Macaca fascicularis: one gene and its partners. The protein of the gene in region 1 interacts with the protein of each later gene in a pairwise test. Links are inferred from orthologs where the notes say so. Each region holds a gene or a part of one and is shown in the gene's direction. Other genes may lie near its edges.

What was found.
Region 2: the proteins of AIRIM (region 1) and VPS52 interact in binary tests that used the Homo sapiens proteins (3 or more experiments, as listed by UniProt). The two-hybrid records come from large-scale screens. The link is inferred for Macaca fascicularis from reciprocal best matches to the Homo sapiens genes AIRIM and VPS52.
Region 3: the proteins of AIRIM (region 1) and TLE5 interact in binary tests that used the Homo sapiens proteins (3 or more experiments, as listed by UniProt). The two-hybrid records come from large-scale screens. The link is inferred for Macaca fascicularis from reciprocal best matches to the Homo sapiens genes AIRIM and TLE5.
Region 4: the proteins of AIRIM (region 1) and MEOX2 interact in binary tests that used the Homo sapiens proteins (3 or more experiments, as listed by UniProt). The two-hybrid records come from large-scale screens. The link is inferred for Macaca fascicularis from reciprocal best matches to the Homo sapiens genes AIRIM and MEOX2.
Region 5: the proteins of AIRIM (region 1) and keratin, type I cuticular Ha1 interact in binary tests that used the Homo sapiens proteins (3 or more experiments, as listed by UniProt). The two-hybrid records come from large-scale screens. The link is inferred for Macaca fascicularis from reciprocal best matches to the Homo sapiens genes AIRIM and KRT31.
Region 6: the proteins of AIRIM (region 1) and REL interact in binary tests that used the Homo sapiens proteins (3 or more experiments, as listed by UniProt). The two-hybrid records come from large-scale screens. The link is inferred for Macaca fascicularis from reciprocal best matches to the Homo sapiens genes AIRIM and REL.
Region 7: the proteins of AIRIM (region 1) and PPP1R12C interact in binary tests that used the Homo sapiens proteins (3 or more experiments, as listed by UniProt). The two-hybrid records come from large-scale screens. The link is inferred for Macaca fascicularis from reciprocal best matches to the Homo sapiens genes AIRIM and PPP1R12C.

Annotation. Positions count from the first base shown.
Region 1 is NC_088375.1:197,229,559-197,233,847, forward strand, and holds the start of AIRIM (AFG2-interacting ribosome maturation factor), read left to right. Parts: upstream 1-1,287; 5' UTR 1,288-1,500; exon of another isoform or gene 1,501-1,740; intron 1,741-1,939; exon of another isoform or gene 1,940-1,940; 5' UTR 1,941-2,070; intron 2,071-2,564; exon of another isoform or gene 2,565-2,628; 5' UTR 2,629-2,824; coding exon 2,825-2,929; intron 2,930-3,000; exon of another isoform or gene 3,001-3,552; intron 3,553-3,667; coding exon 3,668-3,948; intron 3,949-4,289. Other genes in the region: CDCA8 (borealin), read right to left, coding at 495-623, 746-839. UniProt on the Homo sapiens protein: Part of the 55LCC heterohexameric ATPase complex which is chromatin-associated and promotes replisome proteostasis to maintain replication fork progression and genome stability.
Region 2 is NC_088378.1:138,434,774-138,438,503, forward strand, and holds part of VPS52 (vacuolar protein sorting-associated protein 52 homolog), read left to right. Parts: intron 1-407; coding exon 408-558; intron 559-848; coding exon 849-949; intron 950-1,056; coding exon 1,057-1,189; intron 1,190-1,314; coding exon 1,315-1,372; intron 1,373-1,728; coding exon 1,729-1,862; intron 1,863-1,975; exon of another isoform or gene 1,976-2,129; intron 2,130-2,336; coding exon 2,337-2,492; intron 2,493-3,730. UniProt on the Homo sapiens protein: Acts as a component of the GARP complex that is involved in retrograde transport from early and late endosomes to the trans-Golgi network (TGN).
Region 3 is NC_088393.1:3,762,936-3,767,099, reverse strand, and holds the start of TLE5 (TLE family member 5), read left to right. Parts: upstream 1-1,240; 5' UTR 1,241-1,253; coding exon 1,254-1,481; intron 1,482-1,620; exon of another isoform or gene 1,621-1,983; coding exon of another isoform or gene 1,984-2,010; intron 2,011-2,290; exon of another isoform or gene 2,291-2,562; intron 2,563-2,907; coding exon 2,908-3,005; intron 3,006-4,164. UniProt on the Homo sapiens protein: Transcriptional corepressor. Acts as a dominant repressor towards other family members. Inhibits NF-kappa-B-regulated gene expression. May be required for the initiation and maintenance of the differentiated state.
Region 4 is NC_088377.1:114,505,875-114,510,404, forward strand, and holds the start of MEOX2 (homeobox protein MOX-2), read left to right. Parts: upstream 1-1,598; 5' UTR 1,599-1,877; coding exon 1,878-2,391; exon of another isoform or gene 2,392-2,438; intron 2,439-4,530. UniProt on the Homo sapiens protein: Mesodermal transcription factor that plays a key role in somitogenesis and somitogenesis and limb muscle differentiation. Required during limb development for normal appendicular muscle formation and for the normal regulation of myogenic genes.
Region 5 is NC_088390.1:62,443,320-62,447,515, reverse strand, and holds the start of keratin, type I cuticular Ha1, read left to right. Parts: upstream 1-1,313; 5' UTR 1,314-1,382; coding exon 1,383-1,730; intron 1,731-1,929; coding exon 1,930-2,012; intron 2,013-2,361; coding exon 2,362-2,518; intron 2,519-3,316; coding exon 3,317-3,478; intron 3,479-3,571; coding exon 3,572-3,697; intron 3,698-3,873; coding exon 3,874-4,094; intron 4,095-4,196.
Region 6 is NC_088387.1:61,054,328-61,058,057, reverse strand, and holds part of REL (proto-oncogene c-Rel), read left to right. Parts: intron 1-2,657; coding exon 2,658-2,798; intron 2,799-3,730. UniProt on the Homo sapiens protein: Proto-oncogene that may play a role in differentiation and lymphopoiesis.
Region 7 is NC_088393.1:62,991,129-62,995,612, reverse strand, and holds the start of PPP1R12C (protein phosphatase 1 regulatory subunit 12C), read left to right. Parts: upstream 1-1,584; 5' UTR 1,585-1,677; coding exon 1,678-1,998; intron 1,999-4,484. UniProt on the Homo sapiens protein: Regulates myosin phosphatase activity.

The DNA of each region.
Region 1 (4,289 bases):
AGGCAGGAGAATCACTTGAATACAGAAGGTGGAGGTTGCAGTGAGCCAAGATCGCACCACTGCACTGCACTCCAGCCTGGGTGACAGAGTGAGACTCTGTTCCAAAAAAATAAAATAAAATTCCTGATGTGTGAAAATTATGTGAAATTCACATTTCAGTGTATCCACAACTAAAATTTTATTGGAATACAGCCCATCCATGCCCATTCACTATAGCTGTTTTGGACCTGTAACAGCAGAGCTAAGTTGTCCGACAGAGACCCCTCCCACCGGCTCAAGTAGCCTAAAATATTTGCTACCTAGGCCTTTAGAGAAAAGGATGGAGACACATGACTTACGGAAGTGAGACAGAGAGTGAAAGGGTCTGCAATTTTCCATAAGTGGTCATGTCAGATTTCATTAAAAGGTGACATCTGAGCGAGTCCTTTCTGAAGGGTGTTACCTAACCCCACGGGGCTCCCGGCCTCCGCCCAGGGAAGCTCTCCAGCTCTTACCGAAGTAGTCAAGCCAGTTCATCTGGCGCAGCGCCTTGGGGAGCCGCAGGATCTCGATGTTGTAGAGGTTATCCACCTCCTTGAGGAGGTTCTGCCTGTCTGACTCAATTTGCTTGATTCGTATTTCCACTGCGGGAGGGCAGAGCCGACAGGACACGGGTCACGGGGCGGGTGAATGTGTGCAGCTCGTGTCCCCACCCGCCAGCATCCCGCGACCGCCCCAGGAGGCCGCGACGGCCTGGCCCCTTTACCTTCACGGTCGAAGTCTTTCAGAAAGGAGGCGAGCTTCCGCCTCCGTAAGGAGTTGATCTTGGCCACCCGACTACTGCCCTTCCTAGGAGCCATGGCGCTCGGCGGAGGCTGCGGGGAGCGGCGGAGATGGGGCAGGGAGGCAAGGAACCAGGTAGGGACCAGGAGGGCGGATGGGGACCACCCGAATAAGTCGCCAGGCACGTACCTCCGGTCTCGCGACAAGGACTGAGTAAAACCTCGCTATGCCAGTGAGAGAGAGCGGCTCTACCGTCAACCGCCACCTAATTCAAACTCCACAGCCACAGGCTGACGAATGAGAAACCGCCGTCCCACAGTATCCAATCACAAGCAAGTTCCTACCTGCCCGGGGTCTCCCGCCCAATGCGCTCCCTATAGCCGGAGTGCGTCAGCGCGGGCGCCGCCGTCGCGGGTGCTCCTGGGAGTTGTGGTCCAGGCTTGTTTCCCCGCCCTCCCCACCAACCCACCCGGCTCCGCCCTGGCCGGCTGCAAACTATACAAACTGCGACTCCCGGCAGGCCTTGCGGCGGGTCCTCATTACCCCAATCTTTGAAGGGCTAGGAGCGGACTAGGTCAGGTCGGCTGTAGGATTCTGCTCCGGGGCCGGCGGCTGCTTCTTCCAGGCCTGGCTGCCACTGAGTAGCCGAGGGGCCGCCGTGACACTCTGACTGATTGACTGGTTGGCTGCCTACGTCGGCGCTCCTCAGGGCCCCAAGCTCCCCAGGCCGAACTTGGGGCAAGTGGAGGGTCGGCGGAGACAGAGCAGCCCCGACAGGGTTTGGAAGGGGTCGAGGCGGAATGACAGGGGAGCGGGGCCGGGGTGCAGGCTTTGGGGTGGGCGCGCCAGCCCGTGGCCAGTTTGGGCAGCGAGTGGGGAGAACCCTCTTGTTCCTCGCTTGCCCGCGGGCCGGCCACTCCCGTCCAGTTCGCGTCTTGGCGCCTCGACTGGGTGTGCAGCGCGGGGCCGCGACTTCAGGTGCGAGTAGTGGCGCTTGGCAGCTGCCCACGCGGTGACTGCAGCGTGAGCCGCGGCCACCACACTCCAGGGAGCCCAGGGCAGGAGGCAGCTCTGGGTGTTCTGGCCGTGGGCCTGGGAATGGGCGTGTAGACCTCGAACCCCGCTGAGCCGCAGTCCTGTCGGAAGTGCTAACTGTGCATCTTTGCATCTGCCCACAGCCACAGGGTTGGATTGCTCAAGGGTTGTGCTGAGACCCAGCAAGGCTAGAGGCTAGTTTCGAAGCTGTAGCTCAGGCTGAGTCTCAAGGCGGGCGACGACTGGACGGCCAGACCGGCGAGCTCTTGACAGGTTTGTGGCCTGATTGTTTGGATTTGGTGCTTTTCACCTGTGGATGCGGAATGAAGCCATGTCAGAGGGGTTGTTTGTGTTTAAGCGTGCATGTTATAGGCTATGGGAGTGATAATCTTGCCTCTCCCCCTCTGAGTTCAGGAACAATCAAAGAAATAAGCAAAGGTGCCAAGCAGGCTCCTGATGGGCACCAGCGAGCTTGGGGACAGAGCAGTCCAAGCATAGAAACCCTGGCAAGCCTGGCCCTTCCTAGAAAGTCCTTTCTCTCTCTCTTCCACCCTGGTTTGTTGCTCCATATACAAAAAATATTTGAATGTCGCTCTTCCGCCCAAGGTCAGCCCTGGGCAGTGGGTGGTGGGGGTGACACCCGAGTCTGCTGGGTGCCTAAGGATCTCCATCAGTTAGATGGCCAAGATGAGAGGGGACGACAACCCGTACCTCATGTAGGCTTTCCCGCAGCAGGTGTTTTTATGATGGGCAAATTGGGCTTCCAGCCTCTCGGTTTCAGGGTTTCCTTCACCCGACTCCCCAATGTGCCCGACCTCCCTGGGCACCTAGGATGTCCACCTGCATCTCAGCGAGAGCTGCCACGTCAGGAGCCCGTGATTCACTAGTTTTTGCCAGTTGGTTGTGATACACAATGTCAAAAGTGTCATTAAGGCACAGCCGAAGGCGCAAGCTGAGAGGAAAAGACTCCACAGTTAAGAGGACATGCCACCACTGCCACCCAATTTAAACTGCCGCAGGCTGACAAATGAGAAGTCGCCGTGTTTGGACGGTCCCAACATCCAGTCCCAAGGAAGCTTCAAGCCGAGTGGCCAATCCACATGTTGGACTACAGTACCCAGAAGTAATTTCGGTACTATGATATATTTTCGCGACTCAATAGCCTTGCAGGCCTGCGGAGGAGCTTTGGGGGCGGTCGCCTGTGAGCATGCGCAGAGAGACTATGGGCGCGTGGTGCTCACGCTTTGGGTGTCTTGACTTTTAAGTTTTTCCGCTGGTTTCAGGAACGCGACCGGCAGCCTCGGGCAGGGGAGACAGGACTGTAGGTCAGAGAAGAGACGGCGATTGGCCGCCGGGAATCCTCTGAAGCAGGAGACTGCCCTATCCAGGTTACCCTTCCCAAGGGGAAGCCAGGATCTCCTTCAGAAAGCTGAGGCAGGGCCGGGGCTGGTGGCTCACGCCTGTAATCCCAGCACTTTGGGATACCGAGACGGGCGGAAAACCTGAGGTCAGGAGTTCAAGACCAGCCTGGCCAACATGGCGAAACCCTGTCTCTACTAAAAATACAAAAATTAGCCGGGCGTGGTGGCGGGCACCTGTATTCCCAGCTACTCGGGAGGCTGAGACAGGAGAATTGCTTGAACCTGGGATGCAGAGGTTGGAGTGAGCCGAGATAGCGCTACTGCACTCCAGCCTGGGCGACAGAGTGAAATTCCGTGTCGAAAAAAACAAAAACAAAAAAAACCACTTCTGGAGGTGAGACAACTCCTGTGTGAACACGAGGACGGAAATGACGCCCACCCTCGACCCAGTGCCTCCCGGACTGACTTGCCACCCCAACGTGGTTATTTTCTATTTTTATCTTTTTCAGCAGAAGATGACTCAAGACCGGCCTCTGCTTGCCGTGCAGGAGGCCCTGAAGAAGTGCTTCCTGGTGGTGGAGGAGCAGCAGGGCCTGTGGCAGAGTGCCCTGCAGGACTGCCAGCCCCTCCTGTCTTCCCTCAGCAACCTGGCGGAGCAGCTGCAGGCCGCACAGAACCTGCGGTTCGAGGATGTGCCGGCGCTTCGGGCCTTCCCAGACTTAAAAGAGCGGCTGAGGCGCAAGCAGCTGGCTGCTGGTGACATCGTCCTGGACAAGCTAGGGGAAAGGCTGTAAGCAGCTCCATAGTGCTCTTTCCTGGTGGAAGGATTTTAAAACGAGGTGTTTTATATGTAGCTAGTATCAGTCCAGAAGGTGTTTTTCTCCTTGAAAGCGTGGCATTTGGAGGTATCTCAACCTTCCTCACTTACCATCTGGGGCAGTGAGACCTCTGTCAGAAAGCCATTTTCTGGCATTTTCCTTGTCAGAGACTAGGCATGGCAGTGGTGGGCTTAGTGGAAGTCACAAAAGAAGAACAGAAAAGGAGCAGAGAAAGCCTATTAGCTCTGCCCTATAGTTTTCTTTGGTAAAAGGCAATGAGGAGCTGTGTAAACTTAGTAGGTGCTAGAGCTAA
Region 2 (3,730 bases), on another chromosome or scaffold:
TAACACGGTGAAACCCCGTCTCTACTAAAAATACAAAAAAAAAACTTAGCCGGGCGAGGTGGCAGGCGCCTGTAGTCCCAGCTACTCGGGAGGCTGAGGCAGGAGAATGGCGTGAACCCGGGAGGCGGAGCTTGCAGTGAGCTGAGATCCGGCCACTGCACTCCAGCCTGGGTGACAGAGCGAGACTCCGTCTCAAAAAAAAAAAAAAAAAAAAAAAGAATGATGTAAGATCAGGTGTATAGTGGGAAGGTCCAGGAATAGAAAACTTTGTACATGTGTCCTGACTATATGGTACAGTGCAAGGTGGTAGAGATGATAGGAGCTGGAGGTAAGGAGTGTGGTCTGGGTCTGGTTTAGGGATGTCTGGGTTTCCCTTGTAACTTATCCCACCCCTTCCTGCTACCCAGGGCAATTCTGGAGGCTCCAGTGACAGAGCCCAGGTTCTTGGAGCAGCTACAGGAGCTGGATGCCAAGGCAGCTGCAGTCAGAGAGCAGGAAGCTAGAGGCACAGCAGCCTGCGCGGATGTCAGAGGCGTGCTCGATCGGCTCCGGGTCAAGGTGGGAAGTAGGGATGGATACCCTGGAGGCTACTAGAAGCAGCCCTCCCAAGATCTTCACTATGGATTTTCTTGGCAGAGCTCACTGTAGCCTGTCTCCAAGAACTTCACCCTGCCTTTTCTGGGCAGCCCCATTCTTGCCTCTCTGGGTTTCCTTGAAAATCTTGAGAAATACCAAAGAGATATGCACCACTTTTCAATCTATGTTTACCATTTGTTGCTTCCCCCAATTCCTCTCATACAGCAAAAAGGTTGCAGCTTCATGCTCTGTGCTTGGTTCCCCACATCTAGGCAGTGATGAAGATCCGAGAGTTTATCCTCCAGAAGATTTATTCCTTCAGGAAACCAATGACCAACTATCAGATCCCCCAGACGGCCCTGCTGAAGTACAGGTCACAACCCCAAGGAAGTGCATGGGATGGCCTTTGAGCTTTTGAGCAGCCTAATGGCATCTGGTTTCCTGGGAGACAGGTAGACTGACATGTTCCTGACCTCCTAGGTTCTTCTATCAGTTTCTGCTGGGCAATGAACGAGCAACAGCAAAGGAAATCAGGGATGAATACGTGGAGACGCTGAGCAAGATCTACCTGTCTTACTACCGCTCTTACCTGGGGCGGCTCATGAAGGTGCAGGTAAGGTCAGGAGGGAGAGGCATTCCTGGGCACGTGGACTGGGAGGAGGGGACATCCCTGGGCAAGGAATATTTTATTGTGTTGTCGGAAGAGACGGTTATCAGTTCTCTTTTCTGTTTTCTTAGTATGAGGAAGTTGCTGAGAAAGATGATCTAATGGGCGTGGAAGATACAGCGAAGAAAGATATCCTAGTCCTGGGGAACCCTCATGCCAGGTCTTGAGAGTGGGAGGACTTTCGGCTGCAGCCACCAAGGCACTGTTCCTTACCTTTTCCTATGGGACTGAAACCTTTTAGAATGTGATGAAAGCTATAGCCTCCCTCCTAAGAAAGATGCGTCATTTTGACACATAGTTTTGCATATGATTGCAGGAGGTGGGGAGACACCCTGAAGTCCGTTCACAGATGTCATCACGTGGGGCCCTAGTACTGGGAAAGAGGGCTGACTAGGCCATGTCTCGCTGTCTGGGGTCCCTGCAGATAGTGAGTCTTTGGGCCCAGTTATGGTCTCATTGTTTTCCCTGACTCTGACCCATCTTACGATTCTTCTCAAAGCCATCACTCCGCAGCAGGAACACCATTTTCACCCTAGGAACCCGTGGCTCTGTCATCTCCCCCACTGAACTTGAGGCCCCCATCCTGGTGCCTCACACAGCCCAGCGTGGAGAGCAGAGGGTATGAGGAGGAACAAGCTTCAGTCATGAAAGAGACTCTGAGCATGGAGGGAGGGAAGGCCAGACCTCAGGGCAGAGCTTCCCAACCTGCAGGCCCTGTCTCGATCCCCTTAGACTTGGGAGTGGCCTTCTCCAATCACTCCAGCCTGCTGTGATGTGAAAAGAGCTGGGAACCATTGACTTAAGGGCATGCAGAGGGGAGAGACTGGATGAGGGGAATGACGGTCAGAGGCAGGTGTTGAGGTGGATGCAGGAGTAGCAACAGCAGGTGGGTGTAGGCCCTTTTTGTACCCCTATGTTCCCCCACCTTTTCAGTGCCCATTCAGCTTGCTCTTTGACAGCCTGGACCTAGATGGATGCCAAGGGTCTGCCCAGCTCTTATTACCCAGGTTTACTGATTTTGCAGCCATATCCATGGGAAGTCAGTGTTGGGGTCCATCCCTTCTGTGTTTCTTCTTTACTTCTCCTCTCCCAGTATCCATTTGAGGCCCTCTTCCGCAGCCAGCACTACGCCCTCCTAGACAATTCCTGCCGCGAATACCTTTTCATCTGTGAATTTTTTGTTGTGTCTGGCCCGGCTGCACATGACCTGTTCCATGCTGTCATGGGCCGTACACTCAGCATGACCCTGGTAAGATTCCTATTTCCTGTACTATTCAACACCTTTGTCCCCAGTCTTCATCAGCAGCATAGTGGGGTCATGACTCTGGTAGAACTGAAATCAATCAGGATCCTCATTCTAAAATGTCTAAGCCTTGGCTGGGCATGGTAGCGCACGCCCATAATCCCAGCATTTTGGGAGTCTGAGGCAGTAGGATTGCCTGAGCTCAGGAGTTTGAGACCAGCCTGGCCTGTCTATGAAAAATAAAAAATTAGCCAGCTGTGTGTTGATGTATGCCTGTGGTCGTAGCTACTTGAGATGCTGAGGTGGAAGGATTGCTTGAGCCCAGGAGGTCAAGGCTGCAGTGAGCCATGCACTCCAGAGTGAGACCTATCTCTTAAAACAAAAAAAAGAAAAGCTGGGCACAGTGGCTCACACCTGTAATCCCAGCATTTTGGGAGGCTGAGGCGGGAGGATCTGTGAGTTCGAGACCAGCCTGACCAACATGGTGAAACCCCATCTCCACTAAAAATACAAAATTAGTCGGGCGTGCGCAGCCTGTAATCCTAGCTAATCAGGAGGCCGAGGCAGGAGAATTGCTTGAACCTAGGAGGAGGAGGTTGCAGTGAGCCAAGACTGTGCCACTGCACTCCAGCCTGGGTGACAGAGCAAGACTCCATCTCAAAAAAAAAAAAGTCTAAGCCTTGTTACTTAGACTTGTCACAGTGTTACTTCCCATGAAATCCTCAGAGTGTAGGGTCCCTGAGACTCCCCCTGCTGCTGCCCCACAATCAGAATCAGGCAATAGCACGTGAAAACTGAGGGTCCTCCAAACCCCTGACCCAAGCTCAGCCTGGAACTCTGCTGTGATAGGCTTGTGATCGTAGATCCTGCTGCAGCCAGGTGCAGTGGTTTACACCTGTAATCCCGGTACTTTGGGAGACCAAGGCAGGAAGATTGCTTGAGGCCAGGAGTTCAAGACCAGCCTGGGCAACATGGCAAGACCTTGTCTTGACAAAAAATTTAAAAATAAGCCAGGCATGGTGGTACACACCCATGGTCCCAGCTACTTGGCAGGCTGAGGTGGGAACATCACTTGAGCCCAGATGTTTGAGGCTGCAGTGAACTGTGATTGTACCATTGCAATCTAGCCTAGGTGACAAAGCAAGAACCTGTCTCTAAAGTCAAAAACGCCGGGCGCAGTGGCTCACACCTGTAATCCCAGCACTTTAGGAGGCTGAGGTGGGCGGATCACCTGAGGTCAGGAG
Region 3 (4,164 bases), on another chromosome or scaffold:
AGGTGCGGTGGCTCACACTTGTAATCCCTGCACTCTGGGAGGTAGAGGCGGGAGGATCACCCAACGTCAGGATTTCAAGATCAGCCTGGCCAATATAGTGAAACCCATCTCTACTAAACATACAAAAATTAGCCAGGCATGGTGGTACGCACCTGTAATCCCAGCTACACGAGAGGTTGAGGCAGGAGAATCACTTGAACCCGGGAGGCGGAGGTTGCAGTGAGGCAAGATCACGTCACTGCATTCCAGCCTGGGCAACAGAGTGAGACTCCATCTCAAAAACAAACAGCTGGGCAAGGTGGCTCACGCCTGTAATCCCAGCACTTTGGGAGGCCGAGGCAGGTGGATCACCTGAGGTCGGGAGTTCAAGACCAGCCTGACCGACATGGAGAACTCTCGTCTCTACTAAAAATACAAAATTAGCCGGGCGTGGTAGCACGTGCCTGTAATCCCAGCTACTCGGGAGGCTGAGGCAGGAGAATCACTTGAACACGGGAGGCAGAGGATGTAGCGAGCTGGGATCGTGCCATTGCATTCCAGCCTGGGCAACAAGAGTGAAACTCCGTCTCAAAAGCAAACAAAAAACAAACCACCAGGTCCCATCCCTCCTCCTCCCACAGCCTTCCAGGGCTCCCACTTCACTCACCCAAAAACCCAAGTCCTCCCCATGGCCCACAAGTCCTTGCTGGACTGGCCTGCTTCACCAGCTACAGAGTTAGCAGGGCCCAGTGCAAAAGAAAACTGAAAGGCCCCTTGTTCAAAAATGATTAGGAATCTCAAAATGCAGCACTAAATATTAACCCAAGCACAAGCCCTGCTGAGGAGTGGGGGGGCCTGGGCAAATGCATGAAGCCCCAGGCCCTGCCTCCCTCCGGCCTTCCTGACCTCCGCCCTGGCACCCTGATGCCAGGCACAGTCCTGCCCCAGGGCCTTTACACCTGCTGGTCCTGCCTCTGAGTACCTCTGTACCCCATCCCCCTGTTCTCTCTCCTTCTTTGGGTCGTTTTAGGGGCGGAGGAAGCTCTCTCTGATCCTCCCTGCCACCTGTTTAACTTTGCATCTTCCTACCCTGCCATCCTCCCGGCTGGTTTTTCTGCAGAACCGTCCCCACCATCTGACCTGCTGGGAATTCAGCTTGTTAATTTGTCTCTGTCTGTCTCCAGGCACCACCACCAGAGCAGGGACCCCCCACCCCCGCCCCCACCACAGGGCCCTGGAGCAGCAGGCCCTGGCACACAGTAGGCGTTCTATAAATGTGTCGCAAGAATGGCTTCCCTGAGAAAGGCGGCATTACCGCTGCCTTTCTGCAGAAAAGGAAACTGAGGCTCAGCGAGAACCACCGCCCAGCCAGAGCCAAGGTCACAGAGCACGTCCGTGGCACGCGTCCAGGTCGTGCCACGGCAGGGCTGGCGGCTTCGACGCGGGCAGCCGGGTCCCTTTTCTTTGACAGATGGGGAAACCGAGGCCCGGCCTGCTGCCGGGTTGGGGGGGGTGGCGGGGGCCGCGGCCCGGGGCGGGGGCGGGCGGGGCCCAAGGTCACCGCGGCGGGCGGGCCCTGGGGAGGCGGGCCGGGGTGGGGATCCGCAGGCCTCCCCGGGCGCGCGCCTCCCCCCCCTCGGCGGCGCGCACGGGGCACGGGCGGCGGCGGCAGGTGGAGCCGGAGCCTCTGCATCAGCCGAGCCGCGGCCACTGCCGGCGTCGCCGCCATTAGACAATAGCGGTGGGGCCGGGGAGCGGGGAGGCGGGCGGCGGGGAGGGGCGGGGAGGGGCGCCGGGCGCGCAGGAAGCGGGGCCCGGGGCGCGCCGGGGCCGGGCGCGCGGGGAGGGGGCGCAGGAAGCGGGCGAGGCCCGGCGCGGGAGGCGGCGGCGGCCCCGGGAGCTGCCGATCGGCGCCGGGACAAAGGCGCGGCCGCCCGGCGCCCCCAGCAGCCCGAGCCGGGGCGCACAGCCGGGGCGCAGCCCGCGCCCCCTGCCGCGACTGACATGATGTTTCCACAAAGCAGGCATTCGGTAAGCGGGGTCCGTCCGGCAGGCGCCCCCACCCCGGATCCCGGCCCTGCGCTCCCCACCCCCGGCTCCCGGCCCCGCGCCCCCCACCCCCAGGCCCGGTGCCTCCGGCCCGGCACCCCCCCCAACTCCCCGGCCCTGTCTTCCCTCTCCAGCTCCAAGCCCGGCGCGACCCCCCTCCTGCCGCCGGCCCCCGGACACCCCCCAGTTCCCGATCCACCCCAGCTTCCGGGCCCCGAGCCCCCCCGTCCCAGCTCCCGGCTTGGCGCCCCCCCCCCTCGCCGGGACAGGCAGGGCCTCGGACGGCCTTGGCCTCGGGCCTGGGGCGCTCCGGGAGCCCCGCCAGGCACCTCTAGCGCGGGGATCCTTTGGGGGCCTGTGGTGGGGGGGCGATCCGAGGCGCACCCCTCCCGGAAGAGCGCGTCCCCGAGGAAGGGCGCTGGGAATCTGGGGTGGGCCCCCCGGGAAGATTTCGGGCGCCGAGAGACCCCTCCCCCAAGAGGGCTTTGCTGGGAGGACTCGCTGCCCCCCAACTTGGGGAGGGGGCTCCCTAGGGTGCGTATCCACCCCCCTCGGATGTGCACTCCCTCCCGGCGCTTTGGAGGGGCGGTAGAGGGCGCACCCTGCCCCCCATCTAGGGCAGGCCTTAAAACGCACCCCCACTGCTTGGAGGTGGCGGGGGTCGGGGCGGCTCCGGGCGCACCCACCCTCTCGGCTTCCCCCGGGAGAGGCGGGGGGCAGGAAGCGCGGGTGGGGGCCGCGCCAGGGGCCGTAAACACGGGCCCAGGAAGTGGGGCAGGAGGGGGGGCGCCGCAGCTGCGCGGCCGCTCCCTCCCGGCTGGCCCTCGAGGGGGGTCCAGCCCAAGCCAGGGCCTGACCCGGGCCGCCCCTTCCCCACAGGGCTCTTCGCACCTACCCCAGCAACTCAAATTCACCACCTCGGACTCCTGCGACCGCATCAAAGACGAATTTCAGCTACTGCAAGCTCAGTATCACAGGTGAGCTGGGGGGCCGAGGGTCCCTGCGTCCCGAGAAGGTGAGCCCCCCACCCCATTTCTTCTGCGCAGATGGCAAGGCTGAGGCCTGGAGGGGAGATTGGGAAAATAATGTATGCTAGACTCTGACCTAATACTTGACAAATAGGGAATTCATTTTTTTTAAACAGCTGCATTCTGTGGAGGACAAAACTGAGGCACAAAATAAGTTAAATAATTTGCCCAAAGACTCAGCTGTGTGGCTTCAGAGCCCCTCCCTCCTACCCAATCCCCCCAAGTCCCCCCTTGGATAAAAGACAATTGGAGTTAGGGCACAGACTCGCCGTCCCCCCAACCCCCAAAACAAACATTTTGCAGCCTGGTCATCTCTCTTTGCCCAGTTTTGGAGAAAGGGTTCCCAGCATCAGTCAGATTCTCCCAGGTGCTTCTTTCAGAAATCTCCTGGCGTTTCTGAAGAGCTTGCCATGCTGTGGTATCTAAGGGGAAGGAACTATTTAGTCCTTTTACACTTAAAGAAATTTAATCCCAGGCCGGGTGCCACCGGTGGCTCACGCCTGTAACCCCAGCACTTTGGGAGGCTGAGGCGGGTGGATCACTTGAGGTCAGGAGTTCGAGACCAGCCTGGCCAACATGGCGAAACCCCGTCTCTACTAAAAATACAAAATTAGCCGGGTGTGGTGGCAGACGCCTGTAATCCCAGCTACTTGGGTGGCTGAGGCAGGAAACTTGCTTGAACCCGGGAGGCGGAGGTTGCAGTGAGCAGAAATCGAACCACCACACTCCAGCCTGGGTAACAGAGAGAGACTCGGTGTCCGAAAAAAAACAAAAAAAAAAAAAAAGAAGAAGAAACTTAAGCCCAGAGAGGTTATTTCCTCGGGGATGTCCGTAGCGTTGAGGAAGTGGCAAGGCTGAGGTTTGCACCAGGTCTCTCTCCTGGTTTAAGGTTTAAGGATACAGATTTTCACCTGCCCTACTCTGGAGGGGCACGCCGGGCCTGGGAATCTGGAGGAAGTCAGGCTACGCTCAAACCCCCGTTTGGCCTTGGGGCCCTCTCCAAACTGAAGTGTGCCCACCCCAGAAATGTTCCTGGAAGGATCCTGGATTCCCTCCAAGTAGAAAGGGGAATCTCAATTTTGTTGTTGCTATTGCAAATATCCAACCT
Region 4 (4,530 bases), on another chromosome or scaffold:
TCAACCCCCACTCCACCCCACCTCTAAGCAATAGAAAACAATTCGATCTTTCACACGGATGTTTTTGAGAAGCCACTATTCTACAGCATGACTTACAAGAAAAGAAGATAGTGAGGCTTAAGCAGGGGGACTGGAAGAGGAGGGGGAAGGTTCTGCTTTGGGGACACCTCTCAAAGATTAATCAATACTTTTTCCTAATTCAAACCAGATGTCTAGCCCAGTTTGCTGTACCCATTAATCCCACTAACAACTTCAAAGACCTGCTCATCATCCTCTGGACACCTGAGACAATGAAAATAACGGGGCGACACTGCTGGTGGTGCATTTGGGGCCCCGGGCGGAATAGGTGACTACAGATATTCTCCTGATGCGACAGGTCCCAGATGGGACTTGACTGTTTCTCCTGCTCATTACAGAGCCACTCACTTGTGTGTAAACGACTCTGCCCCCAGCGGACCCTGTCACCCGCCAAACAAGTGGCAGTCTCAAAGCCCTGCCATCGTTCTTGCATGCTTACTGGAGGCAAATTTTCTAATTTATTTTCACGGATGCAAAGTTATAGCCAAGTGCCCAAGCTTAGTGAATTTTGGGAGCTATCGAAATGTAAGATTTCTCAGTAAATGGGACGGTGGTGATAAGGGATGCGATTAGCGGATTTATTTTTGAGGGGAAGAGAGTGGATTTCTGTAGGAAACTGCGGAGACCTAGGCTAGCTCCTGAGGGGAAAGGCTAGATATGTGCGTGCAATCTACACATCTCATGTGACCGGGACAAAATCGCCTGGAAATATTTTTGACCCAGGAAAATTTCTTCTTGGTGGACAAGTGGCTAGGAAATTGAGCGGGACCAGGAAAGAGGGGGAAGGGAGACTCCACCTGGCATCGCACAAGAGGATGCCAGGGAACAGGCATCTGCAACCCTTTCAGACTCACGCCTTCCTCCCACCCACCCTACCGGGTCCCTCTTGGTTCCGCACTGAGAACTGCCTTTTCCAGGCCATGGTACTCATCCCCACAACCTCAGATCTGGCGTCCCAGCCCATTAACAATCCACCCACAGAAACCAGCTGTGAAAACCTAGGCGCGCTGCGGCGCCCAGGGCACTGGAAGATGCGAAGTTTGAAAAACTTCGAGGATGCGCCTAACTAGCTCTGATCTTTTCGTTTAACCCTATTACTTCTTTTGGGTTCCTGAAAGGCTAGGCATATCCCTAGCTTTTCTGCAGGTGACAGTTCACAAATGACACTGACAAATCACGATTCCCGGAGAGGAAAGTGAGTAGGTAGGAATCAGGGTGCTGGGTTGGGGGTGGTGTGCGCCGCGCCCAGGCCTCCAGAGTCTGGAGGGCAGAGCTGCTGCCCTCCCGGGCGGGACTTAGGCACTGGCGTGCCGCTTGTAGCCCTGGCAGCCGGCAGTGCTGGGCGGGCGTGGACGCTCTGCGTCTGTCCAGCAGGCGATAGGAAGTGGAACTGGGGAGCGCGTGGCGCAAACTGAGCGGGAGTTTTGGAGGGAGTTTGCATGTGGTCAACTCTGGGCTCCTAAGCCGGCCCCCAGCTCACGTTACACTCTATTTATAACCTCTCAGAGCCATTTCCCCCTGAAAGCAGTTCTCTGGGACCACCTTCTTTTGGCTTCAACCTCTCCCACTCTTGACATCTGAGTAGTTCAGGGAAGCTCTTCCAGGTCCGACTGTTCATATGCAAAGGAGACTGGTCGCTGGGGCTCAGAACCGGGATTATCCGAGCTCTGCAGAAGTGCACGGCTATTGCTTTGGGAGGGTAAAAAAAAATCATACGGTTTCCAGTGAAAAGTGACAGAGGGTGGTGACCTTTGGAACCGTCCTGAAGTCTTCTGCCTGGAACCTGAAACTTGCATGCTATGGAACACCCGCTCTTTGGCTGCCTGCGCAGCCCTCACGCCACGGCGCAAGGCTTGCACCCGTTCTCCCAATCTTCTCTCGCCCTCCATGGAAGATCTGACCATATGTCTTACCCCGAGCTCTCTACTTCTTCCTCATCTTGCATAATCGCGGGATACCCCAACGAAGAAGGCATGTTTGCCAGCCAGCATCACAGGGGGCACCACCACCACCACCACCACCACCATCACCATCATCAGCAGCAGCAGCACCAGGCTCTGCAAACCAACTGGCACCTCCCGCAGATGTCTTCCCCACCGAGTGCGGCTCGACACAGCCTCTGCCTCCAGCCCGACTCCGGAGGGCCCCCAGAGTTGGGGAGCAGCCCTCCGGTCCTGTGTTCCAACTCTTCCAGCTTGGGCTCCAGCACCCCGACTGGGGCCGCGTGCGCGCCGGGGGACTACGGCCGCCAGGCACTGTCACCTGCGGAGGCGGAGAAGCGAAGCGGTGGCAAGAGGAAAAGCGACAGCTCAGGTAAGGGCGCACCAGGCACCCTCGAGAGTGCGCGCCGGCCTGGAAAGGGGGCGGAGAGATGCCAGGGGAGATTCTCGCACTACAGGGTGGCAGCGGGGAATATGGGAATGTGTTGCCCTTTGTGGCTTCCCGCGGCCAAATTCGGCGGTGAAGCTTTGGTCCTGATATTTGGGGGACACGTGTTTATCCGAGAGCAATGCATATACAGCCAGCAGCTCTAAGCTCTCCAAGGTCCTAAACTAGTTTACCAGAAGGTTGATAAAAAAGGACAAGTGGCTGTGAAATCGATTGCGAAGCGTGACCTTCCATCCCAGCGCTGGGGAGGGAGGGGCGTGCGCCCAGAGATGCAGCGTCGGTTGGGCAGGCGTGCGTGCGGGTGCCGCTTCTTGACTTTTCTCTTGCAAGTTCCCGACTGTGAGTGGCTCGATTTTTCCCATCGTTAACTGGATTTCCAAATCATTGCACAATATTTGGAACTTGCAGTGGAACTTGGCAGAGCGCATGAGAAAAAAAAAAGTTTTAGTTTTTTTTTTTTTTTTTCTAACATTCTTATTTCAGCGTTCTTTAAATAGCACCCTATTTCAAATGGTAAAATTTTCCCTTTATTGGGGAAAAAGACATTATCTAGGAATTCAGATTTTAAGGAATGTGTCAGAGAATTGTAAATAAATAGATGCTCACATTGGAAGAAAGACGAACCTTAATAGTACATGTTCATGTGGTGTAAGCTAATTACAGAATCAACGTTTCAAAAGTGGAAAACAAATCCCTCTACCAAGTGGGTATTAGTAGAGACAAATACAGCGAAGCAACAGTAGCTCGGGTAGTGTTAGTTAGCTACGTGCCTGAAGGTGGTATGTAAGGGTGCGCGCAGGAGGCGCTGATTTTAGTGGGGGATAATTTGAGCAGCCACGGAAAAGGGAAACCTTTCTGACCTCTGGTACTTGAAGACACACTTGCCGAGTAACTTTTCTGTAGCAATCCAGAGAAACTCAAAGTTTTCCAGACCACTTTTCAAAGCTCTTACCTACCTGTATTATCATAAAATTGTTAAAAGATACTTTAAAATTAAGAGACTTGTGAGTTTTCTTTCGTGGCTATAGTGCAACCTGGATTGCATATTTTTGGAAGATATCATTTGTTTAATATAACATTTGCATATTTTTCTTCCTCTGCGGAATTGGGTTAATAATAGTCCTAGAAGGTAATCCCATATGTTGGTTTGAAGTATTGGACAAATGTTTATCGTGTATAAAGCTTTAGGTAAGATGCCACCTAAATGAAAATGATTGACCGCATATTTAATATTCCTTCACCCTTCACAGCAATATCAATTGTTATTCAGCAATCCTATGGGATGGATTCTTCTGTCATGGTCTCAAAAGCTAACTTTTATTTTCCAAGGTCAGGGGGTGAACTTTTAATGTTCTGTCACAAATTAGTTTTTATAAGAAAATTACCAGTAGTGTCACTGATATTTAATGTACTTTCCTAACTATAAGTGAAAGTCTCTTTAGATAGTGAGTTGAATGGTTAATCATAGCAAGAAGGTTTCAATTTGTATTAGAAAAACAGTCAATTTTAGAATGCAGTGACAATTTCATAAACCGAACATTTGATATCAGTGTCACTTTGGAAGCAGATCCCAGTTCAGGTTGATGAGAGTACTCTTGCAATTCCCGTAAGCTCTTACTGTTCATTTTATTTTTTGCAATGAGTAACCTACATGACAGATTGTCCTTTATGCTTCCTGAACTGAGCCATTGCTCTTAAGTTTCTTAGGGCAAACTGAATTTTCATACAAGCACATGTTATTTTGTTTGGGGGAAACCAAGAAAGTGGAATTCAGTAACTGATTCCCTTAATTTATTTTAATAATTTTTTTAAAGTGGAATAATTTAACAAAACGTGTTTATCTCTCCTCCTAACTTAGTGGGAAATAACCATTTAACAAAATTAAGTTCATTTCTACATGTTGAAGCTGATAATGAGGGTACTGGAAAAACAAGCCAATATAAGTGTTTGTGTCAGCTGCATAAATTATTAACAGATTAAAACTTGAGTGGAAAGTACAATTAGTCATCACCAAGGATAAAAATACTGGGGACTTAGGACGAGCTTTTCTTTCCTTTGATATTT
Region 5 (4,196 bases), on another chromosome or scaffold:
GGGCTTTTAGAAAACATTAAAGCCAACATGGATATATTATGGAATATAGGGTCAATTCACATGAAGTTTAAAGATCAAATACATGTGATTTCATGCCTGTGGAGGCCCCTTTGGGCTATCTCCTGACTTTCCTAACATATCCATCTACTCTGTTTGGATACTATGGACACCCGAAGAAATGTTTGACAAACACCTCCTTATTCCTTTCTCTCTCCTTATTCCTTTCTCTCTGCCCCTAAATATCTTTTCTAGGTCATTTAAATGCCTTTTTCTGTTTGTTTGTTTTTTGAGACAGAGTCTCGCTCTGTCACCCAGGCTGGAGTGCAGTGGCGGGATCCTAGCTCACAGCAAGCTCCGCCTCCCGGGTTCTCACCATTCTCCTGCCTCAGCCTCCCGAGTAGCTGGGACTACAGGTGCCCGCCACCACACCCAGCTAATTTTTTTTTGTATTTTTAGTAGAGATGGGTTTCACTATGTTGGCCAGGATGGTCTCAATCTCTTGACCTCGTGACCCGCCTGCCTCGGCCTCCCAAGGTACTGGGATTACAGGCATGAGCCACCACGTCCAGCCTTAAGTGTGTTTTTTATGGCTCTCTCAGTTTGCACTTTTCAGCCTTCTTTCAAAATGATCTCTTACCCTAGAAACTTCTCTGTTCTCAAACTAGTTGTCAAAGCCTCTACCTTTAAAATTCTCTCCTCTACAATTTTCTTAAGTAATATGCAGTGTTGGCGGGGAAGTATTACACGGACCCGTAAAACACAAATTGCTGTCTAATATTTTCATCCCTGTCCTCCATTGATTCTAGTCATCCACCTTAAGGCTTCCAAGGCATGGAATGCTCCATCATTTGAAGATTCTTCTTTAAATGAAGAGGGAAACACAGTCCACTGTGGCCTCTTAATGCAACTTCTTCCTCAAACCAATCCGTGTTTCTCCCTAGAAATGGCAGGTGGACCAGGACATGAGTATGTTTACGGGCCTGCAGGATTATGTGACACAAAAGAATGTCATTGGATGGATCAACACCTCAATTAATGAGGGCAGATACTTGGGCTGGACTGTGTAGCCTCTTTGAAGGCCTACCACAGAACTCTGATTTCATGGGTGGACTGTCTGCGGAGGAGTCCTGACTTAGCAAGAAGCCCAAGTAAAGAATTTTATGGGACAAGGGACTCTTCTGAGGAAGGCAAATAACAGACTGAAGGAAAGGGCGTTTGAAAAGAAGTGAAGAAATAAAAAGAAAAAAGACATTACATACTGTGTCCACACCCTCTGCAGTGGGATATAAATGCTCCCTAGAGGAAGGAGACCCACAGCTCTGTGGCTTGGAGAATTTAGACTCTGTCTTCAGCCAGGCACTCACTCCCTCCCTCCCAGCACCATGCCCTACAACTTCTGCCTGCCCAGCCTGAGCTGCCGCACCAGCTGCTCCTCCCGGCCCTGCGTGCCCCCCAGCTGCCACGGCTGCACCCTACCCGGGGCCTGCAACATCCCTGCCAATGTGAGCAACTGCAACTGGTTCTGCGAGGGCTCCTTCAATGGCAGCGAGAAGGAGACCATGCAGTTCCTGAACGACCGTCTGGCCAGCTACCTGGAGAAGGTGCGTCAGCTGGAGCGGGACAACGCGGAGCTGGAGAGCCTCATCCGGGAGCGGTCCCAGCAGCAGGAGCCCTTGCTGTGCCCCAGCTACCAGTCCTACTTCAAGACCATCGAGGAGCTTCAGCAGAAGGTGAGGGGCATTGCTGTCATCTCCAAGCAAGAGAGTTTGCAGTGATTCTGTCTGTGATAGAGAAGTGTGTTTCTTGCTTCTGTGCTGTCATAATTCTTGCTTCCTCTTTTATTTCAAAATGTCTTTTTAAGTCATTTTTAAAAAGTTGATGATGTCATATTTATTTTCAGTCCTCACTAAGCCACCTCTCACTCCCCAGATCCTGTGTACCAAGTCCGAGAATGCCAGGCTTGTGGTGCAGATCGACAACGCCAAGCTGGCTGCGGATGATTTCAGAACCAAGTGAGTTGTTCGGAATTTGCACTAGTGTCCATTTCTTCTGTTTAATCTTTAGTTACAGAAAAGGGATTTCCATGGCTGTACTGAAAAACAGATCTACCCACTTGCTGTGAAGGATTCTGCAGAGGATTGGGGAGAACCAAGCAAAGAAATCACAAAAATAGATGAGGACTCACATCAATCTGTTTGTTTTGGGATGAATATTGGGTATTGATGGAGCCTCCAGAAACCTCTGTCTCCTGGGCCTATTCATTACAGAAAGTGGAAAGATAAGGCACATGAGGTTATCAAAAATCATTCCTGTGAGTGTTGAAGATCTACCAAGTAGTGCTCTGACCCGCTCCTTGTGCAGGTACCAGACTGAGCTGTCCCTGCGGCAGCTGGTGGAGTCGGACATCAATGGTCTGCGTAGGATCCTGGATGAGCTGACCCTGTGCAAGTCCGACCTGGAGGCCCAGGTGGAGTCCCTGAAGGAGGAGCTGCTGTGCCTCAAGAGCAATCACGAGCAGGTGAGACTAGAAATCAGAAATGCACAAACCTGTCTCAGCCTCTGACTCAGGGTAGCTTTAGTGATTAGGGGCAGCAGAATGCAGAGTATGAGTACAAGGCTGAGGGTTTCCTTTAAAAACATCACGGCAAGAGAAAAATTGGAGAGAGATAAGACCTGTTCATGTTCCCAGACAGGAAACATCTTTCACTTTAAACTAGCACATTCTTTGAGTTGCCCAGAGCAGCTCCATGTGCTTGAAATTGGTCAATAGTTATAGAATGAGTCCTAGCATTGCAGTGTTACTGCTTTGCAAAGTCTTTTTTTTTTTTGCCAAAGACCAAGAAAAAAAATCAAACCTTATAAATGTGAGTCTCTACTCTTTCAAAGTATTGGCGAATAGTGTTTGTGAGCTTCTTCCTCTCTCTCCTGGGAGGGGCCATGATATGCTCTTATCTCTTACTTGACAACAAGAGTTTTTTGATATACGGTCTGAAATTGCACAGCCAATTTTATTTTTTTTTTGTATGCTGAGGTCCTCACAGCCAGTTGTAAACTGGGAAAGTTGAACCTCAATTAGTCCATCCTTCAGTGGCATCCAAGCAAACTTTTGGGATTTTTTTCTGAAGCCAAGTGCCATGGCACAGCAGATGGTGGGGAGGGGGCTATGCCACATGGAGTGCCTTGAGCTGTCACAGACTGCTCCACTCAAAGTTTCTGTTCTGAGAGAACAGACTAACAGGGCTTCAACAAGCAATGCCATTCCTTAGAGTCCATTCTTTGCTGAGCATAGTAACTCTTGTATTTTCTGCATCCATAGGAGGTCAACACCCTGCGCTGCCAGCTTGGAGACCGTCTCAACGTGGAGGTAGATGCTGCCCCCACTGTGGACCTGAACCGGGTGCTAAATGAGACCAGGAGTCAGTATGAGGCCCTGGTGGAAACCAACCGCAGGGAAGTGGAGCAATGGTTCACCACGCAGGTGGGCATCTAAGCACGTGGCCACTCAGGACCCAAGGCCCACCCTATGGCCCCAGAGGCAGGGTCTGATCCTTTCTCCCCTTGGGTGTTTCAGACCGAGGAGCTGAACAAGCAGGTGGTATCCAGCTCGGAGCAGCTGCAGTCCTACCAGGCAGAGATCATCGAGCTGAGACGAACGGTCAATGCCCTGGAGATTGAGCTGCAGGCCCAGCATAACCTGGTGTGTATTGTTCTGACCTGCTGGTGAGCAATGGGAAATTGGAAGGCAGAGTCCTGGGGATGCCCTTGGGGCCACACACTCTCCTTAGCTCTTGGAGCTTGTGACTTCCTTGGAATCCTATGAAGAAACCCTTTGAAGGAGCAGCTCTCTGACATTCCGGATCTTCCCCACCACAGCGAGACTCTCTTGAAAACACACTGACTGAGAGCGAGGCCCGCTACAGCTCCCAGCTGTCCCAGGTGCAGAGCCTGATCACCAATGTGGAGTCGCAGCTGGCGGAGATCCGCTGTGACCTGGAGCGGCAGAACCAGGAGTACCAGGTGCTGCTGGATGTGCGTGCCCGGCTAGAGTGTGAGATCAACACGTACCGGAGCCTCCTGGAGAGCGAGGACTGCAAGTGAGTACATGGGCAGATGTATTTGATGAAGCGGTGCACGTGTGAGTGTAATACTCAGACACAATGCAAAGATTGCATACCTTGGAAAGGAAATTATGCCTT
Region 6 (3,730 bases), on another chromosome or scaffold:
TTTTAATTTTTTTTTTTTTGAGACGGAGTCTCGCTCTGCCGCCCAGGCTGGAGTGCAATGGCCGGATCTCAGCTCACTGCAAGCTCCGCCTCCCGGGTTCACGCCATTCTCCTGCCTCAGCCTCCCGAGTAGTTGGGACTACAGGCGCCCGCCACCTCGCCCGGCTAATTTTTTGTATTTTTAGTAGAGACGGGGTTTCACCGTGTTAGCCAGGATGGTCTCGATCTCCTGACCTCGTGATCCGCCCGTCTCGGCCTCCCAAAGTGCTGGGATTACAGGCTTGAGCCACCGCGCCCGGCCTAAAAATATTTAAAATAAATTTTTATTGAGATGCAATAAAATCTACCAGAATATATCCTGCCACATAACCACCACCACAATCAAGATGTGGAACATCTCCATTACCCCCTAAAATTTCCGTGGTCCCCTTCTCGTTCATTTTTCTACCCTGCCTCTGCCTCAATTACTAATCTGCCTTCTGTCACTGGAGATTAATCTTTTCTAAAACTGCATATAAATGGAAGCATACAGTATACTTTTGTATCTGGTTTCTTTTGCTCAGCATGGTTTTGAGATACATTCATTTGGGAGTATATACCCCCCATAGTTCTTTTTTTCTTTTTCTTTTTTTTTGAGATGGAGTATCGCTCTGTCCCCCTGGCTGGAGTGCAGTGGCACGATCTTGGCTCACTACAAACTCTGTCTCCCGGGTTCACCATTCTCCTGCCTCACCCTCCTGAGTAGCTGGGATTATAGGCGCCCGCCCCCATGCCCGGCTAATTTTTTGTATTTTTAGTAGAGGCGGGATTTCACCGTGGTAGCCAGGATGTTCTCGATCTCCTGACCTCATGATCCGCCCACCTCGGCCTCCCAAAGTACTGGGAATACAGGCGTGAGCCACCACGCCTGGCCAGTTTGTTCTCTCTTATTGCTGAGTTTATTCCATTGTAGGACTATACCACAGTTGGTTTATCCATTGACAGAGTTCACATAGGTTTGTTTTTAAACTTATCAGGAACATCTAGCTACAAATTTATCTTTTTTGCATATTGATTACTCATCTTTGCAATTGATAGACACTAATATCTTGAACGCTACATTTATAATGCTATAAAAATGGGTTTTGAAGAGGTAGCGCTCGTATCGCCTACACAATAGTGCCAGTAGAGTATGCTGCTGTAACCCAAGCGTTGGTATCATAACATTTTGACCTTTCAGTTGTACAGAGTACAGATTTTTTTAATGCACTCTTTCAAAGGTTAGGCTAAGAATGCTAATACTGGGATACTTCTAAATATTGTGATAGCTACGTAGGCTGTCAGTGTCATTAAATAAAAACAGTACAAAATACATTATCATTTTTATTAGTTATTGCCTGTAAAATAAGGAATTTGGGCTTAACTGTGTTTCTAAATTTAGTGTTTCAAAATTTAATACTTTGCAAAGTAAAATTGTTGTGTAAATAATGTGCATGTCATGCTTTTTAAAAATATAACTTAGTGCTTTAGCTTATGGCATTTGAAAAGGCAATATTTTCTTTTGGGACTGGATTTCTGGTTCAAATATTAATTTAACAAACTATTATACTATATTCTGTCATGAGCTTTTCTAGTTTTATAGAACTGTAAAATTTTTAATTAAAAAAATTTTTAAGCAAAGCTAATTTACACATAAAATTTCTTATGGAAACTAGCTATCTTACTTTGTTTGTTTCTTGGTATTTCATCCTTAAAATGTTGATCCACATTTTAGTAGATATTCTTGTTTATGTCATTTTTATGTATAACATATGTACAATTTTCTAATAGAGTTCAATTTTTAAAAGCATAGGCTCTAAATTTAATGACTTGAGTTCACATTTCCACTTTGCCACTGTGAAACTTTGGGCAAGTAATTCCTCTCTTTAAAATCAGTTCCAGGCCAGGCTCAGTGGCTTACGCCTGTAAACTCAATACTTTGGGAGGCCAAGGTGGGTGGATCACTTCAGCCTGGGAGTTCGTGACCACCTTGGGCAACATAGCGAAACCCCATCTCTACAAAAAAATAGAAAAATTAGCTGGGCGTGGTGGCATGTGCCTGTAGTCCCAGCTACTCGGGAGGCTGAGATGGGAAGATCACTTGAGCCTGGGAGGCAGAGGTTGGGGTGAGGCAAAATCGCATCATTGCACTCCAGCCTGGGAAACAGAGTGAGACCCCCATCTCAAAAAAGCTAATTAAACTCAGTTCCTCATTTGTAAAATGAGGATGAAAGTAATTCTTTTACAGATTTAGGAGATAATTTACAGAGTCCTTAATACAACACCTGGACCAAATACATGTTTGTTGAATGAATGGGTAAATGCCATTCTTTGTTGTGTACAAACTTGCAACTTTTTTTTAAAACTTTGATTTGGTATTAATGTCAACTTGGGATTATCCCCAGGTGAGGAGATAGTTACTTCCTGAACATGGCTATAATTTATTAAATACTGTTTGATAGTGACTACTTGATAAGAATGATACAAGGCATTCTTTGTATACTATCCTATTTGTATTCGTACAGATTTGGATTCTATTCAAGGTTATTGGCTATAATGGGCAGGGAGGAGGACCTAGCAGGACTTTAGGTCTATGTGACTATTACATTCTTAAAATTTTTTTTTTTTTTTACTATTCAGTCCCTGAAAAACAGCTGAATGATATTGAAGATTGTGACCTCAATGTGGTGAGATTATGTTTTCAAGTTTTCCTCCCTGATGAACATGGTAATTTGACGACTGCTCTTCCTCCTGTTGTCTCGAACCCAATTTATGATAACCGTAAGTACTTCATTTTCTTACATTTGTAGTCTTGTTTTTTTGTAATGGTTTAAGTCTTAAAAGTATTTTGGTAATTAGAAAAACAATATATTCATGATAGGAAAACTTCCAGGCATTACAGAAATATATAACAGAAAGGAAATCTTCTCTAATCTCATCCTCCAGGGATAATCACTATCCTTAGGTGCATATTTTACCAGTTTTTTCTTCCTATATATACATAAATACATTGTCGTCATCATTTTTGACACAGTACAATTGTGGCAACTTAAAATCATAAGTGATGATTGTTTAAAAACTTTCTTCTTACCATATATCTTGAACATTTTCCTTTCAATCACCTTATTCTTTTCAGTAGCAGCATATTTTATTATGTAGTTACATCATAATTTTATTAATTACCTTCTTATAAGACATTTGGTTTGTTTCTTTTCTCATTTTTTCTTTTTGGCCTAGCAAACTGTACTGCAATACATATTCTTGTATATGTTTTTTTTTAATTGGTTTTTTTTTGGAGACAGGGTCTCACTCTGTCACCCAAGCTGGAGTGCAGTGGTGTAATCATGCCTCACTGCATGGCAAATGCTGGATCAAAGGATATGGATATATCTCATTTTAAAAGATTATGAAACTTTCCCCCAAAATACTGTGTGTGTGTGTGTGTGTGTGTGTGTGTGTGTGTGTGTGTGTGTGTGTGTGTGTACATAGACTTATATATATGTCCACCAATGGTGTATGGCCATACCTGTTTTATGTGTAGAAGGATAGAGAGATGTAGGGCTATAAAGGTAGATCAGAGTATCCTTATCATGTAGAGCTTTAAATGCCAGGAATAATTATAATAATCTTATGGCCACATAATAGGAAGCATGAAAGTTGTATTGCCATAGGGAGATGTATTGCCGTAGGGAAAATTGTATTGCCATAGAGAT
Region 7 (4,484 bases), on another chromosome or scaffold:
ACAACAACAACAAAAAAAAAAAAAAAAAAAGGAAAAGAAAGAGAGAGGGAAAGAAACAGGCCTCGTGGGATGCACAGTTTACTTCTCCGCGCAAACCCAGGACTTCAGAGTGGGTGGGAAACTCCCACAGCGCTTGGGAAACCGTCTGTAGCCTGTCTGGATTTTGGCCCAATTCTGTGTGATTTTGGTCGGTCTCTTCCTGTCTCAAAGTGCCAGCCACCTTCCCAATTTGGAGCTAGGCGCGGGATCCGCAAGGTGAAGATTAAAGTGTGCTCATCGCTTGGGCCCGCTGTAAGGTGATTCGCCCCCCACCTGCTGGAACTCCTCGCCCGGGACCACCAATCCCAGCATGCCTTGAGAGCGCGCGGGGGCCTGGACGGGTCCCGGGAGGTCCGGTTGGGCGCAGAAGAAGCGCGGACCAGTGAAGGCTCTGGGAGCCCTGTCACTGTTGGGTTCCTTTCCTCCGTGTGGTTCAGGGATTACCACTAGGGACTGTGGACTTCTCCTGCCCCGAGCCCGAGATGCCTTCCACCCGCTGTGTTTTTAGGGGTGTGGCCCTGTGGGCTACATTTCCCAGCGTGCCCTAGGATCGTGGTCCTGACCTTTGCACCGCAAATTTCATTTCCCAGCATGCCCTGGGAGGTCACCCAGGGAAGCCTGGATATGGACCGTCTTTCACGGCTTTTGGGTTGTGGACTCAGTTTCCCATGGTGCCCTGGTGAACCCATTCATTCATTCATTCCAAAAATATTTGCGATCACGTACTCTCAGGTTCTGTTCTACGAACCAAGGACAAGTAGTGCACAGAAGACAAAAGTCCCTGCCCTCGTGGAGCTTATTTCGAGTTAAGGGATCAGGAAAAAACCCAAAATAAATAAAACCCAGCCGGGCGTGGAGGCTCACGCCCGACATCCCAGCAGGATTACAGGCCGAGGCGGGCAGATCACGAGGTCAAGAGATCGAGACCATCCTGGCCAACATGGTGAAATTCCGTCTCTACTAAAAATATAAAAATTAGCAGGGCGTGGTGGCGGGCGCCTGTAATCCCAGCTACTCTGGGGGCTGAGGCAGGAGAATTGCTTGAACCTGGGAAGCGGAGGTTGCAGTGAGCGGATATCGCGCCACTGAACTCCAGAGTGGAGACAGAGCGAGACTCCGTCTCAAAACAAACAAAATAAAACAACAATAACAAAACAACCCTGCCTCTCCCCGCACTCCCTGCCACGCGGCTGTCCAGTCGATTTCCTAACTGCCCTGGGGCAGCCTGCTCTTCGTCCCCTTTACCCGGTACTCTACGCTTCCTAGTATGCCGTGGGGCATCCCTCCGGTCTGCAGACTCCATTTCCCAGCATTCCCCGGAGGAGGCCCTCATTCGGTGATTTCCACTGGGCGCCTCGGAGCTGCGGACTTCCCAGTGTGCATCGGGGCACAGCGACTCCTGAAAGTGGCCAGGGGCAACTTCCGCTTATGGACTCCATTTCCCGGCGCTCCCCGCGACCTGCCCAGCACACCCTGGGGCAGCGCCGTGACGTCGGCGCGCCGGGCGGGGGCCGGGAGATCCCTGCGGCGGTGGGGGGGGCCAGCGGCAGTTCCCGGCGGCCCCCGGGGCGGGCGGGCGGCGGCGGCAGTTGGGGCTCGGCGCTCGCTCGCTCGCTCGCTGGGCGGGCGGGCGGTGCGATGTCCGGAGAGGATGGCCCGGCGGCTGGCCCGGGGGCGGCGGCGGCGGCTGCCCGGGAGCGGCGACGGGAGCAGCTGCGGCAGTGGGGGGCGCGGGCGGGCGCCGAGCCTGGCCCCGGAGAGCGCCGCGCCCGCACCGTCCGCTTCGAGCGCGCCGCCGAGTTCCTGGCGGCCTGTGCGGGCGGCGACCTGGACGAAGCGCGTCTGATGCTGTGCGCCGCCGACCCTGGCCCCGGCGCCGAGCTCGACCCCGCCGCGCCGCCGCCCGCCCGCGCAGTGCTGGACTCCACCAACGCCGACGGCATCAGCGCCCTGCACCAGGTCAGCGCCCCCTCCGGCGTCTCCCGGGGCCAGGCCCACCCTCCGCAGCGCCGCCTGGGGCATCCTCCTTCCCCGGTTCCGAGCCGCCGTTGCCAGTCTCGATCCGCCCCGTCGTTCCTAGCCCTGGGCTTTGCCACCCTATGCTGACACCCCGTCCCAGCGCCCCCTTACCAGCCCTCTTCGACCACCCTGCTTCCGAATTGGGGCTGCTTCAAGTGGCCCTGGGCTTTGCCACTCTGTGCTTACCACCCTGCCCCAGGCATCCTTACCAGTCCCCTTCGATCTACCCTCTTCCGCATTGGAGTCGCTTTAACTGGCCCTGGCTTTGCCAGCCTGTGCTGACCCCTGCAGTCCCCCTTACCATCCCTCCCTCGACTTCCCCTCTTCCGATGTTGAGCCTCTCTAGCCGGCCCTGGACTTTGTCTCTCTCCCTGCCCTGCCCTCTCCTGAACCTGAGGCAGCTCCCATAGCTCACTCTCGTCTATCTCCCTGGCCCTGGCCATTGTCACTTTGCGCTGCCCTCCACTCGCCGCCGAGTGCCCTTGCTGTGCCCCCTCTACTCTGCCCTCTAATGCGGCCGTCTCTCTCCTGAGTCCGGACCACTTTGAGCTCTACTGGCTTCTGCGCCGCCTCTGGCCCGCTGTTTCCCCTTTCCTGGCGGGTGCTGCTTTCACTGACCTGCATTCTCTCCCCTGAACCTGTGCCGCTTTCTGCCTGCAGCTTGTGGCCTGGGCCACCCCTACGGCTAGGCCCAGATCCTTCCCCACCACCTCCTTCAGGTTCCAGCTTCCTCCAATCCCTCTTCCCCTTGCTCTGTGCTGTGCGTTGCTGCCCAAGGATGCTCTTTCCAGAGCACTTCCTTCTCGGCGCTGCACCACGTGGTGTCCTCGGAGCGGATCCTGCCCTTGTCTGGGTCCTCTCCGGGCATCTCTGCTCCCTACCCCAACCCCCATGCCATCTTCATTCGCTGGGTTCCCTTTTCCCTCTCCTTCTGGGGCCTGTGCCATCTCTCGTTTCTTAGGATGGTCTTCTCTGTGGGATGCCTCTCCCTTGCGTCCCCACCTCCCCTTCTCGTAGGCCTGCATCATCACCGTTTTTCCCGACAACCCCAAAGTCCCTGTCTCCCTGGCTTTAGCCACCTCTCCATCCTCTTACTTTCTTTGCCTGGACACCCCCTCCTCCTGTGGATTTGGGTCACCTCTCACTTCTTTAATTCGGGCAGCTCCCATACCCCCTTTACCTCTCTAGTCTGTGCTCGCTCTTCCGGCCCCTGTCACGGCATCTTCCAGGGGTCCCAGAGCTCGGCTGGTCCTCTTCTTCCAAGCCGGGCCCCCATGGCCACTTCAGGACAAGATCTTGTGTCCCAGAGCCGGGACCACCTTATATTCCCAGGACCGATTAATATGGCTCTGGTTCTGGGTACTTTTATCTGTCCCCTCCACCCCACCGTGGGGCCACTAGGGACAGGACTGGTGACAGAAAGCCCCATCCTTAGGCCTCCTCCCTCCTAGTCTCCAGATATTGGGCCTGACCCCCACCTCCTTTTAAGCACATTCCTTATCTGGTGACACACCCCCATTTCCTGGAGCCACCTCTCTCTCCCCGCCAGAACCCCTAGGGTTTGCTTACTGATGGAGCCAGAGAGGATCCTGGGAGGGAGAGCTTGGCGGGGGGTGGGAGGTAAGGGGGATGCGCGACCTGCTGGTTCTCAGTGGCCGCCCTGCGCTGCCCTCTCCCAGAGCCTGAGCTGCTCTGGCGCGGCCGTCTGGTGCATTTCACTGAGCCGGGTGCTGCTGCTTCCTTACGCTTCCCAAGAGGAGAAGCAGTTTGGAAAAACAAAATCAGAATAAGTTGGTCCTGAGTTCTAATTTTGGGTCTTCACCTTTCTAGCACCGAATTTGTACTGTTCCTCTGTGCATCAGTTTTCCCTGTGAGATAAGGCCAGTAGCCGCCCCGCCCTGGCAGGGCTGTGGCGAGGAGGGCGTGTCCGTGTGGAAAACTCCCTTTGTGAGAATGGTTCGTCCTAGGTGTTCACCAGGTCGTGGCCGCCTCTACCCCCTTCTCTTTCTCCATCCTTCTTTCCTTAAAGAGGCCCAGTGCTATCTGGGACATACTCCTCCGCCCGGAGCGGGGTCCCGGGGCCCCTCTTCCCTAAGGCCCTGCTCCGGGCCCCTGGGTTTCAGTCCTTGGCAAGCCCAGGAGAGGCGCTCAGGTTCCCTGTCCCCCTTCCTCGTCACCATCCCATGCCCCTGGCTCTCCTGCACTTTCCCTACAGGGGTTCCTGGCTCTGCTCTTCAGACTGAGCCCCCTTCCCCTGCATCCCCCAGAGGCCCCAGGCCACCTAGTTGGCCTGGACCCGGCGAGAGGTCGCCCCAGCCCAGTCCGCCAGGCCGGCTTTCAGGTGGATTCTCCTCCCACTGTGGGGTGACTGCTTGGCAAACTCACTCTTCGGGGTATCCCAGGAGGCCTGGAGTATTGGGGTGGGC